2 linked regions of the Lepisosteus oculatus genome follow. Each later gene encodes a partner of the first gene's protein in a complex. Links are inferred from orthologs where the notes say so. Each region holds a gene or a part of one and is shown on either strand. Other genes may lie near its edges.

Region 1 (7,767 bases):
AGAAATTTTGGAATAGTCAGTTTTAAACTTAGATCTACAATTTAAGAAGTTATTTTATATAAAAAGTAGTACATTACCTTTTCCGGCTCTGCCTACAGAAACATTATATGTTGGCTCTCCACCTTGACTCTTTGTCCTGATGTCCATTGTCCAGTCCCCTTCAACATGAAGACTGTCTCTGATCACAGAGCACTTCTTTGAACCTAAGGTCAGACCGCTGGTGAAGAAACCCTCTCGGTCTTTTCCAACTATCACATCAATTTCTTGGGGCTAGAAAGTACAAAAAAAAAAAGAACTAAGATTTTGTACATTTTAAGAAATGTCACCCACGTCAATGTTCCACGTCATCCTGCAAGTAAAAATTCAATTCTGAAGAACCTCACCGGACCCAGTCATATCTGAATTTAATCCTATGCCACCTAAACCTCCTCTACATGGAGAGATCAGCTGTTTCTAAATGCAGTGCAGGGGACAAACTGCTGAGAACACCATCGTTTTCCCACCCCCATCACGTTCGCAAGAGCAACCCCTAGTGCGTCATGAAACCCACCACAGTGGCAGGTCATCCAAAGAATAAAGAGGTGCCCCCCCCCAGGAAAAAACCGTCTGGAGATGCGGCACAGCAGTCCCAGCCCAGCGAAAGCACACAGAGCGAGGCAGCCCTGCTCTGCCGAGGGCGTCACGCTTTGTGCCTGGAAGAGCAGAGCCGGACCCCTCCGGCCCAGAGCCCGCACGACCCGGACTGACCGGCCTCGCCTGGAGGGAGGCGACGTCACGCCAGGCGACGGCATTTTTAAGCTGCCGAGATTTTTTTTTTCTAAAAAAAGGGAGTTCCACGGTAAAAAAAAAAACCACACACACAAAAAAAAAGACAGCAGTGCATCAGTTTCCTGCACGGCGGTGTCACACGGGGGGTCCGTGTGCAAGTGGGCTCGACTCGGCCCGGGGACCTGCGGGCTGCCGTCACGCCGCGGCCGCAGTCCAGAAGGTTCCTTGCGCGTCCGCGTTCAGACGTGGGGGGGTGGGTGGGGAATGAATATGAAGGTTGCGGGCTGGTTTGCGAGCCGGGTTTTTTTATTTAATCACCCCCAACCCCCACCCCTGCCGGAGGAAAGCGACCCGTGTGAGAGAAGGCGTCGCCCTCCAGTAGAACTGCACAGTCATGGCAGGCCCGGCCATCACCCCCTCCCTCCTCCTCCTCCCTGTCTCCGTGTCCGCTCCACTCGCACAAACCCCGCGACCACAGCCACTCAGGCGAAGGCGATGACTTTGAGGGCCGCTGTCATGAGATCCGAGCGGGGGGTGGTGGTGGTGGTGGTGGTGATGATGATGATGGGGGGAGAATCTCGACTCTTAAGATCATCATGCATCATTTAAAACCGGCATCCAGATCCGCAATCCGCGCTAGAGCTTTTTTTTTTCCTGGAGTGGTGGGGGTCGGGGGGGGGGGGGGGGGGGGACATTTTGCATGTCAACAAGCCACAAACCCAAGGGGTGGAAAGATGGGACCCGTCGCCATGTGGGAGCGCCCACCCCAGGAGCGGCCGAGCTCGGAAACCGCCGGCTGGAAATAAAAGCCGCCGCGACACGTTGCGCCGCGACCGGGCAGGGGCGAAACGCGGCGGCGGCGGCACCGGACCGCAGAAAACCTCCATCCACCCGTACAAAATGGAGGATATCTCGCCTTCTCACTCGTCTTACAAAAGGTGCTGCCCCATTTTGTCCCCCTCCTCCTCCTCCCAAAAAACAAACAAACTGGACGCTTCGCGGCTGCAAAACAAGCCGCCCGAACGAGACGACAGCAGCTTTTTAAAAAAAAAAAAAAACACCTCCAACACCGCATTGTTGGACATAATGCGGCGAGTTGCCGTGCAAGGAGTCCGAGCTGTTGGGATGAATAAAAAAAAAAAACCCCAGCGCGGGGAGGCGCCATCTTGGGCAGCACGAAGGAGGCGGCAGCGGCGGCGCGGCCGGGATTCTCGAAGCCCCGGTACGCACTGTCCCCACCGCAGCCGCCCCGCTCGCCCGGCCGGGTTACGTCAGAAACGTGGCGTAACTTTCTCCGAATCTGGACGGCCGGCCTGATTTCATCGTCTTCTCTCTCTCTCGGCCCCCCCCCGCCCGCAACGCACCACCACTGCCTTTCCCGCATTGCCGGTCGCAGACACCCGTACATTTAAGTGCTGGGGGGGGAATCCCCCCCCCCCAGAAAACAGACGAAGCCCCCTCCTCCTCCTCCTCCTCTCCCACACCGCACGTTTTGAAGCGACCCACGCGTGGAAATAAAGAGGGCAGCGGGGGCTGTTATCCCGTCCGTCGCCCCTCCCTCCTCCTCCTCCTCCCCCCGTGGAAGTTCCCCTGGAATAAAGATCTAACGGGCCCCCAGCGCCGGGCCTCGGCCTGCGGCTCCCCGGACAACAGGCCCGCCCGGCCCGGGCCTGCTCCTCGGACAGACCGGCCGATCCCCGGGCTGCCCTGACGCCCCCCTCCCTCCTCTCCCGGGCCCTTACCGTCATGCTGTGGAAAGTCCCGCCGGCCGACGCGGCCCAGACGTACTTGGCGTCCGTGTAACCGACGATGGCGGAGTCCTGGCAGCTGCCGTCAGCCATCAAATTATCCACGTAGCTCTGCCAGGACATGCTTGCGTCTCTCTCTCTCTCTCGATCTCTCCCCCTCTGGAACACGACCGGCGGTTAAAGACGGCAGGAGCGCTGAAGAAGACGGGCGCTGGGGGAGGAGGGAGCCGGGAGGTAAGGGGGGAAGAGAGAACCCAGCCGGGGAAGGATGCTGTCTTCTGCTGCTGCTGCTGAGGGGGGATCTGGCCGCGTTTGAACGCCTCGCTGCGGTGTCGGGTGCGTTTGGAAGAAGAGGAGGAGGAGGAGGAGGAGGAGAAGAAGGAGCCGCAGGACTGGGGGGGAGGATGTCTGAAGTCGAAAGCGTGTCTCCAGCGGCAGCCACAGCCCGGCGCTCCGTCTCGTGCCCCGCTCGGATCTGAGCTCGCGCTGCGCGGCGGCGCCGAGTAACATTCGGGCAGCGCGAGCGGGGTGTAGTCCCTCCGCCAGATCACTCCGCGCGGCTGCGCTGCGGCCCGGCCCGCCTCGCCTCGCCTCGCCCGTAGCAGAGCCTGGCGGAGGGATCAAGCAGGAGGAGGAGGAGGGGGGGGGGAGGAAAAAAGGGCCGGCTGAGGAGGAGGAGGGGGAGCCGCAAAAGTCCGGGTGGGGAACAGTCAGGATCGTGACTGAACTTCACCTTCCCTTGCCGGACGTGGTCGGGTTCGGACCCGGTCCGGGAGATTTCTATGTTGTTGTGGAGGAGGAGGGGAATAAAATAAAAAAAAAAACGTTTTGCAGTTTTTGGAGGTTTCATGTTTTTTTTTGGCAAGCGGGAGGTTTCCAAGTTGCCCCGTTTAATAATCCAATCTGATATTTAAAAGCGGTGGGTAGTCATTCTGATGAAGGGGAAAGCGGCTCGTCTGCTAAGCTCTTGCACACACACACCAGCGCAGAGCACCCGAATTGCCCCTCTGTAAAATCAACTTTGGGTCGTTCTTCTAATCTAAATCTTTCATGCAGAGCCTAACCCCAACACAATTCGTTGATATAGATGATAAGGATTGTATGGCTACTTTTCCATTATCAGAAGTTCGGCAGGAAGGTTTAATTGGACCTTAATTGTACCTAACGCTATGAAAATCTGTTTACACGCGAAGTTTAGGTAACACAATCACGGTCAGTGCAGGGTGCCCAAATTAAATATTGCAAATCAATCAAGTACTGAGGGAGCATTTGTGTTTGACAAAGTAATAGAGGGGTTTCAGGATAAACTATTTCAGGATAATTTAATTTAAATATTTAATAACATAATTTTATTTCAGGGTAAACTTATTTTTGTGTAGAAACCGTTCCCTGGAACCGGCCGGTCTCCACAGCTCTGTGAAAGACATCCACCACCATCCAGACCTTCAACAGCAGGGGCCCCCAGCCCAGTCAATCCCAGTCCAGTCCCGTCCTGTCCAGCCCAGTCCACTCCAGTCTGGTCCAGTCCACTCTAGTCCAGTCAAGCACAGTCCAGTCCAGTCCTTTTAAATGCAGTCCAGTTTAGTTTAGACTGGTCCACTCCAGTGCAGTCCACTCCAGTCTAGTGTCATCTAGAGTCTAGTGTACTCTAGTCCACTCCAGTCCGTCAAAATCCAGTCTTGTCCACCCCAGCCAAGTCCTCATCCGTCCAATCCACTCCAGTCTAGTGTACTCTAGTCCAGTCCAGTACAGAACTTGAACTTTATTGCCATATGTAACTGGTACATAAACTGGTACAATGGAATTCTTACTTACAGAAAGTCTCTCGATTGTAAAACAGGTGTAAAAACACAAAGTGCAGACAGTGCATCAAGACAATAGACAAACAGTGGACAATGTACAAGTCAACATGTAGACAGCTTGAATGTGTACAATACAGCCCAGCTCAGCTCAACCCACTCCAGACCCTTCCAACCTAATCCAGTCCAGTCCAATCCAGGCCCCAGGGACCTCTGTTCCAGCTTCCAGCTCCAGCTCTATGTCACCCTTAAATAATCAACTGCTAAAGACTTGGAACAATTTCATTGTGACCAATTAAGAAAATGATTTGTTTAAATTAAGACACTGAAGAGACCAATTGGGATTAAAATCTGGGTGCCCTTCGGATGCCAATTATTGGAGATCTCTAAATTGAATGGATTATTGCTTAGGTGATCGATAACTCACAGGTGTTCCCCACCTTTAGAAACCGGTGACCACAGGGTGGCTATTGGTCGTGAAAGATGGGATCGGAGTGGAGTAACCCATTTGCCTGCCCCTCAGAAATGTGCAGAACCCATAGCCACACCATGACTAGAGCAGATCACCTCTCTGACGCTTGGGTGATCCCCCCCTTTGCACTGAAACCGGCCTAGTTTGAGGGTGATCTCGTATTTCTGTACTTCTAAAGGTGCTGCCACATTAACTCCACACCTCTAACCAAAATTCATAACTGTTTTTAAAGGACGGGGAACTCTCCTGCAATACTGACGTGAAAGCCGGCTGGGTGGTGTTAATAATCATCGTGACAGCAGAGAAGCCAACCAGCCTTGGTGGCGCATCTTTAGGCTCTGGAGGGAAACAGAGGCATCTAGAGAAAGCCCACACAGATGTAAGGAGATCGTGCAAACTCCACATGACTCCACAAACCTAAAAATAAACAGAGTTTAACGACAGGAAATTGATTCCAGTTGTCAGATCACGTAGACACATACCTTAGCTTTGTGCAACAACCTGAAACTTTCAGGTACCATAAATAATATTATTGCTAAACATATGCCATTCTAATCTGCAAGAGAATATAGAATACGAATTTTTGTATAAAAATGCATTAAGTCCTGTTCTACACCTGCATGCTTTGGAAGCACTGGCCTACCTGTATACAAAATAAACAGAAGGATTCCAGGCCTGAACAGAAGCCAGAAGTCAAAAGATGTGATAAAAAAGCTACACGATTAAAACACCATAAGATGCAGAAAAAGTTTGTTTCTGGGTACCTAAACCTTGCACTGATTTTTATAAACCCTCTTGACAAACATCTCTTCGGACAAACACAACCGATGTCCAGACATAACAATGATATAATTCATATAATAGAATCTGATATAATAAAATGACCGATCAGGAGCATAGTCTTGCTGTATGCAGAATCACCCTGAGAAATGCCTTGCCTCGTACTGACCTGAGGCACCGTGTGATGGCAAAATCATTTTTAATACATTTACTAGGAGCGTTACCCCTGTTTCAGGCTGATATTCCAGGGAAGGACCCAGCTCAATCCAAGCACGAAACGTTGACTAAGTTCCCATCAGTTGCTGTATGGGCATGGGGCATCTCCTGACACTGTTTACAGCGATTACTGTCTTAGCTTTCTCCTGTTCAAAGCACTACAACCCGTGTAGACATATTCCCACAGGACAAAAGTTTGGAATATTTCCTTTTTTAGAAAAAACATACTTTTTTAATTTAGAAGCTATGGGATAGACGATGAAAAAAGAAGTGTTTTAAATTGAGCTGATTGAAATAAGCCAACCCTGCAAAGCGCTGTGTGTTAATAGATACTGGGGTGTTGCTACAGTAGCACTGGATTGTCACTGGGGGAGGTATTTTCCTCATTTAATCTTCACACTTTTGACCCTCCCCTGCCTTATTTCTTGTAGGTTGTATGTCTGCGTCCACATATTGCTGATCTTACATTGCTTCCTCAGTTGTCTCAATGTAAGAGACGGTCCAGGCTTTTAAAAGCAGACAGTAAGTCAATCTTTGGGAAGAACATCTTAAAAGGTGCCTGTAAGTCTCAAGGTGAATCACAGGGATAGTCGCATTCCCTAACTCCTCTGGGAAGAGAACTTCACAGTCGGAGATGATGGACCAGCTGCCAGTGTCAGCCACCGGCCACGGTCCAGCATCAGCAGAACTCTGCACTGAGACAAAAGCTGAGAGACATTAGGGACAGACAGGACACACACTGTCCCTCAAACACACTGGGGTTTTGTTTGTGTTGCCCTTGCCTTTTAATTCCCCTGAGGCCATTTAGAGTTCTCAATTTCCTGTGGACCACAGGCCCCACCATCACACACTACAGGTATGTCAAAGATTTCTGCCCTGAATGAAGTCCAAACCTGTTTACCCACTGGCCACCAGTGAGGGCCGGACACAGGACTTTTCACCCCGCAGGGAAACCACAATCTCGAACCCGATCCCCGGCACAGCCCTGGCCTTCGGTCTCCCCCGCTGCGATGTGTCGGTCAAGCATCGTCACCGGCCCCTGCGGGCCGGTCAGGGGTTGGACTGCAGCAGCAGCTGTGTGGGGGCGTGTCGCTCTAGAGGCAGGTAAAGGCAGGGAGAGGGGGCACAGGGTCATGACCGCGGGCTTGGATGAGAACTAGAGTTCTCAAGTGCTGCCTGCGCCCGTATCAAGACCAAAGTGTAACACTGTTTTAGAGCTCACCGCAATGCACAGTTTCTCCAGTCGGAGAATTCATATTTATAGGAGGTATACCTTCTCTGTAGCTCTCCATAAAGAGCGATAAACTGAACAGATTTTAATTCAATAAGTGTTCTCCTTCGGCGAAACTGCAAAGCCGCCATCATTCCAGCCAGAACAATCCCACTCAAGGCCTCTTGGAAGCTGAACAGTCAATAGCCTATTTGAAGAGCCATTGAGAAGTAAAATGAAAAAGTTAAAATTGCATTAAAAGATCGTTCAAGATTGGCTTGCCTCTCAAAAATGCGGGACTTGAAGTTTAAATACAGTTTGACTGCTGTGATCTATAAAGAAAACACACAGCCTGCCAATCTTAGTAAGATTTCTTTTCAGACAAAAAGAGAGATTACATCAGGTGTGTATTACAGTGGGACATTTTTTCTTCCTCTAGAAGAGAATTTTGAGATTCAGCAAAAGAAAAGAACACAGCTACAAATGGAAGTGGAAACTTACAAATGAGAAGTTTAGTAGCCCTTACTTCCCTTTCGTGAAAGAAAATCGACAGTATGGGCTTCGGCAATCGTGGCTGGCTAGCTTGTTCCATACTCCCACAACCCTTTGTGTAGAGAAGTGCCTCCAGCTCCCGGTTTGACATGCTCTTCCATGAGGGCTTCCTCCTTCCTAATTCCCACAGGGCACTCCTTCCTCCCTGGGTGGCTGGGACACAATTCCACATCCCGTGTCACATGAAGATAACCATCAGGACAGTAACCAGCCTTGCATTTC
Region 2 (7,558 bases), on another chromosome or scaffold:
TGAAGGGCTCCTCATAGACAATTGGCAAAGATCCTCTGTCTGATCCGATGAGAAACAGACACTTCCAGTCCTTTTCATGTCTAAGTGTTCTACAGGGCCAGTAAAATAAGCCATTATTGGTTGGATCAAAGTCCAATAATGCAATGAGAGGAGCTGTGTGGCCCTACCAGCCCGTTAGCCAGTTGATTGATTCTAGGATCTCCTCCAGCTGTCTTTTGTAAGAAGGCAGGGTATCGGGCTTTAGCTACATGGTTGGCGAGCTTGTTCCCCACCCCCACCACCCATTGTGTAAAAGAGTTCTCAGTTTTAAATGCATTTCCCCTTGTGTCCCCTGGTTCGTGTTTCACCCTTGATTCTGAAGACGTCCGCTGGGTTGGGTTTGCCAGAGCCTTGAGGATTTTTGATTGCTTGTATCGGATCCCCTCGTAGCCTCCTCTGTTCAAGAGTTGTTTTGGGAGCCACGCCTCCCCAGCCTCCCGCCACACGGACAGAAGGCTCTTGAGGGAGCAGAGGAAGGCTGCCCGGTGTGTTCGGTGACATTTGAAGCGCCCCCTTGTGCCCGTGGAGCAGAACCGCCGGGCGTCGCGCTCTGCAGCAGAGTGGCCCAAGCCTGCCACGCCCACCTCCGCGCTCACCTGAGCGGGAGATCAGACTGGTACCGGAACCAGAGAGCCTAGTTCCATCTCTGCACCGTGTTGTTGTACGCAAGGCGTGCTGAGCTCCGCAGGTAACGAAGGAATAGAGAGGTTTATGGGGCAGAGAGGGAGAGTGTGAGTTGTGAGTTTACAGAGTGCAGCTCTTCTGCGAGTCCAGGGCGCAGCCCTGAATCTCTGCCATTTCCTGCATGCCTTGCATTGCTGGGTGCTGTGATTACTGGTAGCCTGGAGGAGGACAGTGAGCGTGCAGGGTCTTGTGGGGACTTGAAGGGATGAGGGTTTCTGGAGTGGAAGGAAACAGAGCCTGCGAAATCGCCGGACATGGGTGGACACCCCAGGAAAGAGCGCAGGACACCGGCACCCAAGCCCGGGCTTCGTGCTCTCCGGTCTCGCAAGAAACGGCTTCAAAGGTGGAAGCGCTGATCAGCAGTCCTCAGACGAGCCCTGTGCGACAGGAGCCTGCGGGAATATGAAATTGTGCTTCATCAACCCCCCTCCGCCAGGCCATTCGAGGAGGAGGGGCCGGAGCTCTGCTGCTCCTCTGCTGAGCTGTGGTTAGGCCTGTTGAGTGAAGAATTATTCGCACTGAATAATGAACTACAATGTGGCTCGTTAGAGTGGCGATGAACATTATTTAATGAAATGCAGTTCCCAGTTTTGCCTGTCAGGAGGGTCGTACAGTCCCCCTCCCCCTCACATCATGATGCACACATCAGTTTAGAACAGCATCACTTTGCATCCGCGACATGAACATGCATTTCTTTTCCATCAGCTGACGTACAGGGTTGGAAGGAGCATAACTCTTTGATCCGTTGTATTCAGGCTTTCATGTAGAGTGCTCTGTATGAGTGTTGTCATCGTCCTCTAAAAAAATGCATTGCTGCTCTGAAATCAGACCAGGAAGTAACGCTCGTATTCTTTGTGGGGCTTAAGGAAACATCCCACACGGACAGGCTGAAGGAGCTGAAGCTCTTTAGTCCTAAACACTGAAAGGGGTCTTCGTCCAAGTAATCGAAATCATCAAAGGCAACAAAGTCACTCAGTGGGCTTCTTCAGAATGAACGGTGAGACGCGGACCAGACGGCACAGGTTGAAACCACTTGGAAGTGCATTTAAAACAGGCACTTCTTTACACAAAGGCTTGTAGGAGCGTGGAACACGCTACTGTTCTTTAGCTCCACTCTGGTTTGTGTCTGTTCTTGGATGCCATACGTTTAAACTGGGCAGGTGCGGTGCGGGCCCTGTTCTGCGCCTGGTGTCGGGTGGTGGACAGGAGCGGTGCAGTTAATCTGCTGGAAAGGAGAACTGCCCTGCGGACCCGTCATTGTGTGAAAATGCGCCGGAGGAAGCGGCGTGCGGCGGGTTTGGAAGTTGCACCCTGGCTGCGCCACATCTGCACATCTCCCATCCAGAGCTGCTTACGAGTGCCGGCCCTTTGCGAATTTGCAGAGTAGCAGCAGGCGGAATGATGCAACTTCACCATCACACCCAAATTGATGCCTTTCGGGGTGTCCCTCTCTGCCCGTGCCCCCTGAGATCTCCCTGCGAGTGTTTTGGGGTTCCTTCAGAGGAGGAGTGGGGCGTGTGCACCTGACAGCTTCATGACACTGTTCCATTGAGTGGGGCCGTATCCAAGACCAAGCCTGTCCCGGGGCGAGCCGGTACCGTGACGGGCCGGTTCACCCTGCCGCCGTTCCTCGGTGTGAAGCCAAGCCCCCGCTGTCGCAGACAGAGCTACCGCTCCGTGCGGCTCGTGCTGACCAGACTCGCCTGCGCCGACCCTGGGGGGGAAGAGGAATTTGAGGAAGTCAAACCACAGTGCCTGGTTTTAGCAAACTGTGAATTTGCAGAAGCATCTTTCACAAGAGCCTGAGGATGTAGCTGAAGAAACAATGAGTGTGCGGAACAAACGAACGCAGTTTGTTCTACGTTCTCATTGTCCCCCCGTGAAAGCGGAGGACATTGTTTTCAGTGGTTCTTTTCCATCTGGTTGTGGATAACAATCAAGTTGCGTTCTGCGAAGTTTTGTCCGCTTCTGCAGACATCGGAGTGCGTGGTAGTGTTGCGCACCTGCAGCCCCGCTGGGGAGCTCAGGACATCGGCTTCACAAGAGATGGATCTCCGAATTGTTTCGCAGAGTCCCAAACTGGATTTGTGCTCCCTAAAGCACGTTACAGATCCAGAGAGAAAGTTTGTTGATTTCAAGAGCTGGCTGGCCGCATTTCATCAGGTTTATTCACACTCTCTTCACGCTGACAATCGCAGTAATGTGAAGTCTGATAAGTAACAGCCTGATTCGGTGTTCCCAGGGGTGTATGTGATAATACCGACGCTGGGATCACCTGTCCATTCGTGAGGCTGGTTATATATAGTGTGAAGGAGATGCTCGAGGAGGGAGCTGTGTCGGCGTGTGCCGGCTGCAGAGGAACAGGTCAAGGATTTCTCCCTGCTGAAAGGAAAAGACATGAGGAGAGACGCAACGTTTCGGATGTGGGGCCTTCTGCACACACCTGAAGAAGATCCACAGCCGAAACGTTTTCTCTTTTCCTTTCCTTTCTGCATGGAATAGACCTTTACCTGTTCCTCTGTGGGAAGGAGGTGAGCATCAGGCCAATGCACCAGAGGTCTTAAAGTTCTTGTTTTTTTCCTCCAAGGCCTTATCTCAGATCCCTTGTGAAAAAAGTGGCGGCGATCAGTTTATCTCGATGTGTGGAAGGCTCTCTCCGTTTCAGAACCCTCTCTCCTCCGCCACGCCCGCGCTTGTCGAAGGCCGTGAGTCGCCCGCAGCCCTAAGACACCGGCAGTGCTCCCAGAATGCAGGCTCCAGTCTGAAACGCCCTGTGGGGCTGGTGGAATGTGGAATTAACTCTTCGAGAGCTCAAAGCCAAGATGTGTCCTGGAGCCCAGACCACTATAATCTGTGTCCTGTGTCTCAAATCGCCCAAACACGTTTCAGGCGTATGTCACATATCTTGATAAATGATGTACCTTTGTGTGCGTTTCATTTCTGCAGTTAGTTGTGTATGGAGACCAGAGGGGCAGTCTTGCCTGTGCTTAGCTTGGGGTGTATTCTGAGGTGCCTGCGAGATTTGCACTTTTGCAGAGCTGCATATTAATGCTGCGTTTGTTCATTCTGTTACCGAAAGCTTACGCAGCTAATTATATAAGCCTGTTGTATATCTGGTATCGTCTACCACAGTCTCGCTTTAAGATGGTAAATGTATTAACAGCAGCTGTACTTGCACTCGTCTACTTTTTGACAGTTATGTTCGGGCCGACTTCAAAACTTTTTTTTTTTCATTTGTTAATATCAGTGGCTAGAGCAGTGTTCCTGTTTACCCTGACCACATCCCTCTCACTGTCAGTGTCCTCTGGACCGCATCGGGGGAGGCGAGGCCTGCAGGCTGCCGATAGGATAGCCCTAGTACAAGCACAGATAATTCACATGAAGGGTTTCTTGTTTTAAGGGAAAAAAGTTTGCAGTAAGTAAAAGCGCGAGACGCTCTGCCAAGCTGACGCAAGCCAGCTCAGCAGACTGCCAAACAACACTGAGCACAAAAAGGAGCAGGCACAAACACCCCAGACTGTGAGCCGAAGGCAGGCTGGTGATTGTAGGTTTTGAGCGGTTTGGTGGGGAGAGGAGAGGGCTGCAGTGGGAGGTGGGGCTGGAGACTCGGAGGGAGTGGAGGGGGGGGCAGGTAGAGCGGAGCGAGCCAGGGCTGGCAGGGAGACGGGGTGTGGGAGGGAGGAGAGGGGCAGGCGGGGCTGGGCCTGGGCCTGAAGAAGAGAGACGGGAGGCGCAGGTACAGAGAGCTCCTGAGGGAGCAGTCGCACAGGGGGAGAGACGGAGGGGGCGTGCCTTGTGGGGCATGACTCAGCCCGTCGGCGTGTCGCTGAGCACAGCCTTATACAGGCATGTCTGAGAGCGCCTGGCCGCAGTCTGTTTACTTCGCCCCAGCTGCACAGTTTCCTGTTAACTCCTGCCTGACCAGGCAACAGGGCTGCTTTCCCTCCTGGATCAGCAGCCATTTTGGCTCCTGTTTCCACCCAGGGTTTCGGGGTGCGGTGCCTTGGACTACGGCATCGTACAGAGGGGTTTGTCGATGGATCGTGCTCAGTAGGTGTGTCTGTGGTCCTGGCTTCTGGATTGCTAGCCTTTTGAGCCCATCGAGCACACGATCCTTTATTTTGAGAGCTCTGCTGATGTGTTTAACACAGCCCACTGGCCCCAGAGGTTTATGAGGAAATATGCCTGCCTTGAGCATTTCAGAAGCCTAATTTCCGGTAGGAAAAGGTCAGAGTGGTAAAGTGAAACTGTAGATTTCTGCGGTGAATGGTAGACTTTGCTGTTGGTAGGTGGGGAGTGGCAGTAGCTCCTGAAGGAGCAGGTAGTGATTGTCGGATGCGCTGTCTGCTCAGAGAGTCTGGGCCTAGCTGAGGCTCGGCGTGATCCATCATTTAATGCTCCTGCCGAAGAGCAATCTGAAGAGATTGAAAATGCATGCCAGCTCGCTCTCTTTCCGATTGTCTGAAACTCTCGCCTTGTCTCCGTCACACACACGCACGCCCCCCTCCGGGTCACAGACCCGTAGATTCCTCTTGGGGAGTGAGCCTGACCCTGTGCCCCTCCCCCTGAGCCAGCAACGTTAGCCTCTCCGGGACACGGGGGAGGGCAATTAAATGAACCCGGGCCCATGATTCCGTCAGGGTCTGAACGATCAGGTTCTGAATGAGCGGGACCCGGCGTGCCATCCCAGCAAACACTACAGGGCTGGGACCCGGAGCTGCGAGTGCTGTGTGGGCCGGTGCCGTTTACTGGTACAAGAACATCAAGAAGATGAGCAGAGGCCATTTGGCACAGAGGTCTGGCACATCTGGGCTGACTGAACCCAGATCTCATCTAGCTGGTTCTCGAATGTAGTCGAGGTATCAGCTTCAGCTACTTGGTTGGTCAGTTTGTTCCAGACTCCCACCACCCTGTGTGTAAAGAAGTGCCTCGCGTTGACAGGTTTGAATGCACTTCCCTGTAGTTTTCGCCTGGGCGCTCTGGTTCTGGAACTCCGGCCCACCTGCGCCTCCCGAGCTCCCCCCGCGCGCAGGGGGGTCTCCCAGCAGGGCGGCCCCGGCAGCGGGCGAGGCTGGCTTGGGGCCGCCCCCGCCGGCCAGCCGTGCTCGTGTGTGGGAGGGCCTGTGTTTTGCGCTCTGGGAAATGTTTGCATTGCAAATCTAGCCCCCCCGCGCCTCCCAGTTTTTTGCTTCCTCCCCTTGGCTTCAATTTTGACCTTTTCGCTCCTTCTACTGCGGCACTCCGGCCCTTCCGCTGGTTATTTCACTACTAGAAGCCGAGCCTTGTCCTCTCTTTCCGGATCCCTGTCCAGCAGTGGAGTTAGTCGGTAGAGGGCGTTCGTTCTAGTTTTGGACCTGAACTGCTTCGCTGGGGAGTCGAGAATGACTCGACAGCCGGGGCTCTCCAGGAACAGGGCTGCTTTAAGCCCTCGTTTTGCCGACATCTACAGTACGTGTATTTTTGGGGGTTCTGTCCGATGAAGAAGGCTGAATCGTACCCCTGGTAAGGGCAGCACCCTAGAATCTCAAGTTGGTCCGGGAGCTCATTGTGATCTGTTCAGTGCTGTCTTGCCAGAAACCACTCTTGTAGGCAGGGAATGCTTCTCATTTTTTCCAGATTCCCTGGCGTCTTCAGTAGGATAACCAGATAAAATAACAAGCACGTCAGGACTTTTTACTTAATTTGATTTGCTGTTAAACTCGGGGCAACTTGGCACAGGCGATAGAAGACCTTGAAGCAGTGGGGATACGAATAACATTCAGCACTGAGCAGACCTCTGCATGGTACCCAGACATTTAGGAATTGGCATGCTTAACGAGAGCAGGAAAAGCCAGTCAACAAAAGACCATCTTTGCAATCGATTGACACTGTAGACACTCCTGCAGGACAGGCTGGAGCTTTGTGCTCCAGCTCAGCAGCTCACTCTTCTTTCGGTTGAATCCCTCCGATTTACCTGCGCTGGATCACAAACAAATTAAATATTAACGCGATCTGTTCCTTTTCTCTATTTGGATTAATATCCATGTGTGTCGGGGTGCGTTTTAGAGCTTAACAGTTAATGATTAATGAATATTAAAATACAAAACGGGTCATAGTAGGGCCAGCACGATCCTTTCCATCAGGAGAATGAAGTAATAAATAAGAGAAGACTGCTCGTCCCGTTGAGCTCGTCAGTAGCTGATTGATCCAAGGGTCTCTTGCAGATGATTCCAGACAGAAGCCAGGCTGTTGGCTTCAACAGCGTGACTGTATACCTTGTTCCACACTCCCACGACCCTTTGTGTAAAGTAGTGCCTCCTTTGCTTGGGTTTAAAAGCACTCTCATGGGGTTTCCCTTTGTGCCCTCTGGTGCGTGTTTTGTTGTTATTGCTGCAGGAGTCTGCTAGATTGACCTGGTCACTGAGGTCCCCTTGTAGTCTTCTGTGTTCAGGAGTGAAAAGGTTCAGTTTCTCCCGTGTGTCTGTGTAGACCACTCCCTCAACCCCTGGAATGGAGCCGATGATCCTTCTCTGGACAGATTCCAGAGCAGCAATACCTCCTCTCTAACGCAGTGACCAGCATTGTACATGCGCTTCTGAACAAGGCCTTCCTGCTGTCACACTGTGCAGGGCCGGAGGGGGGAGGGTGCAGGTTGTTCAAAATGATTTTTTCTTTCATTTTTGGGGGGCGAGAGAGCTAGAAGGCTTCACACCACATCCCCAGTGTGGCAACACTTGGGCTAATTCGGCCATCTGCGTGTTTCTTCATCGTCAAAAAAACCCTGATCCAAAACAAACAAACTGGGCAGTCGGCCAGAACAAGTCAGTCTGCGCCGAGCCTCAGACAGCCCTTCAGG

Evidence for each region. Proteins that work in one complex are often made in the same cells at the same time.
Region 2: the proteins of profilin-2 (region 1) and vaspb are in contact, whole or in part, in a crystal structure (PDB 2V8C), measured with the Mus musculus proteins. The link is inferred for Lepisosteus oculatus from reciprocal best matches to the Homo sapiens genes PFN2 and VASP. Residues at the interface, in NP_062283.1 of Mus musculus: Gly3, Trp4, Ser6, Tyr7, Asn10, Cys13, Tyr30, Trp32, Met131, Tyr134, Ser138, Phe140; in NP_033525.2 of Mus musculus: Gly165, Pro166, Pro167, Pro168, Pro169, Pro170, Gly171, Pro172, Pro173, Pro174, Pro175, Pro176.

The regions. Positions count from the first base shown.
Region 1 is NC_090708.1:2,496,207-2,503,973, forward strand, and holds the start of profilin-2, read right to left. Parts: upstream 3,075-7,767; 5' UTR 2,640-3,074; coding exon 2,511-2,639; intron 271-2,510; coding exon 78-270; intron 1-77. UniProt on the Homo sapiens protein: Binds to actin and affects the structure of the cytoskeleton. At high concentrations, profilin prevents the polymerization of actin, whereas it enhances it at low concentrations. By binding to PIP2, it inhibits the formation of IP3 and DG.
Region 2 is NC_090698.1:2,213,626-2,221,183, forward strand, and holds the start of vaspb (vasodilator-stimulated phosphoprotein), read left to right. Parts: upstream 1-4,556; 5' UTR 4,557-4,571; coding exon 4,572-4,777; intron 4,778-7,558. UniProt on the Homo sapiens protein: Ena/VASP proteins are actin-associated proteins involved in a range of processes dependent on cytoskeleton remodeling and cell polarity such as axon guidance, lamellipodial and filopodial dynamics, platelet activation and cell migration.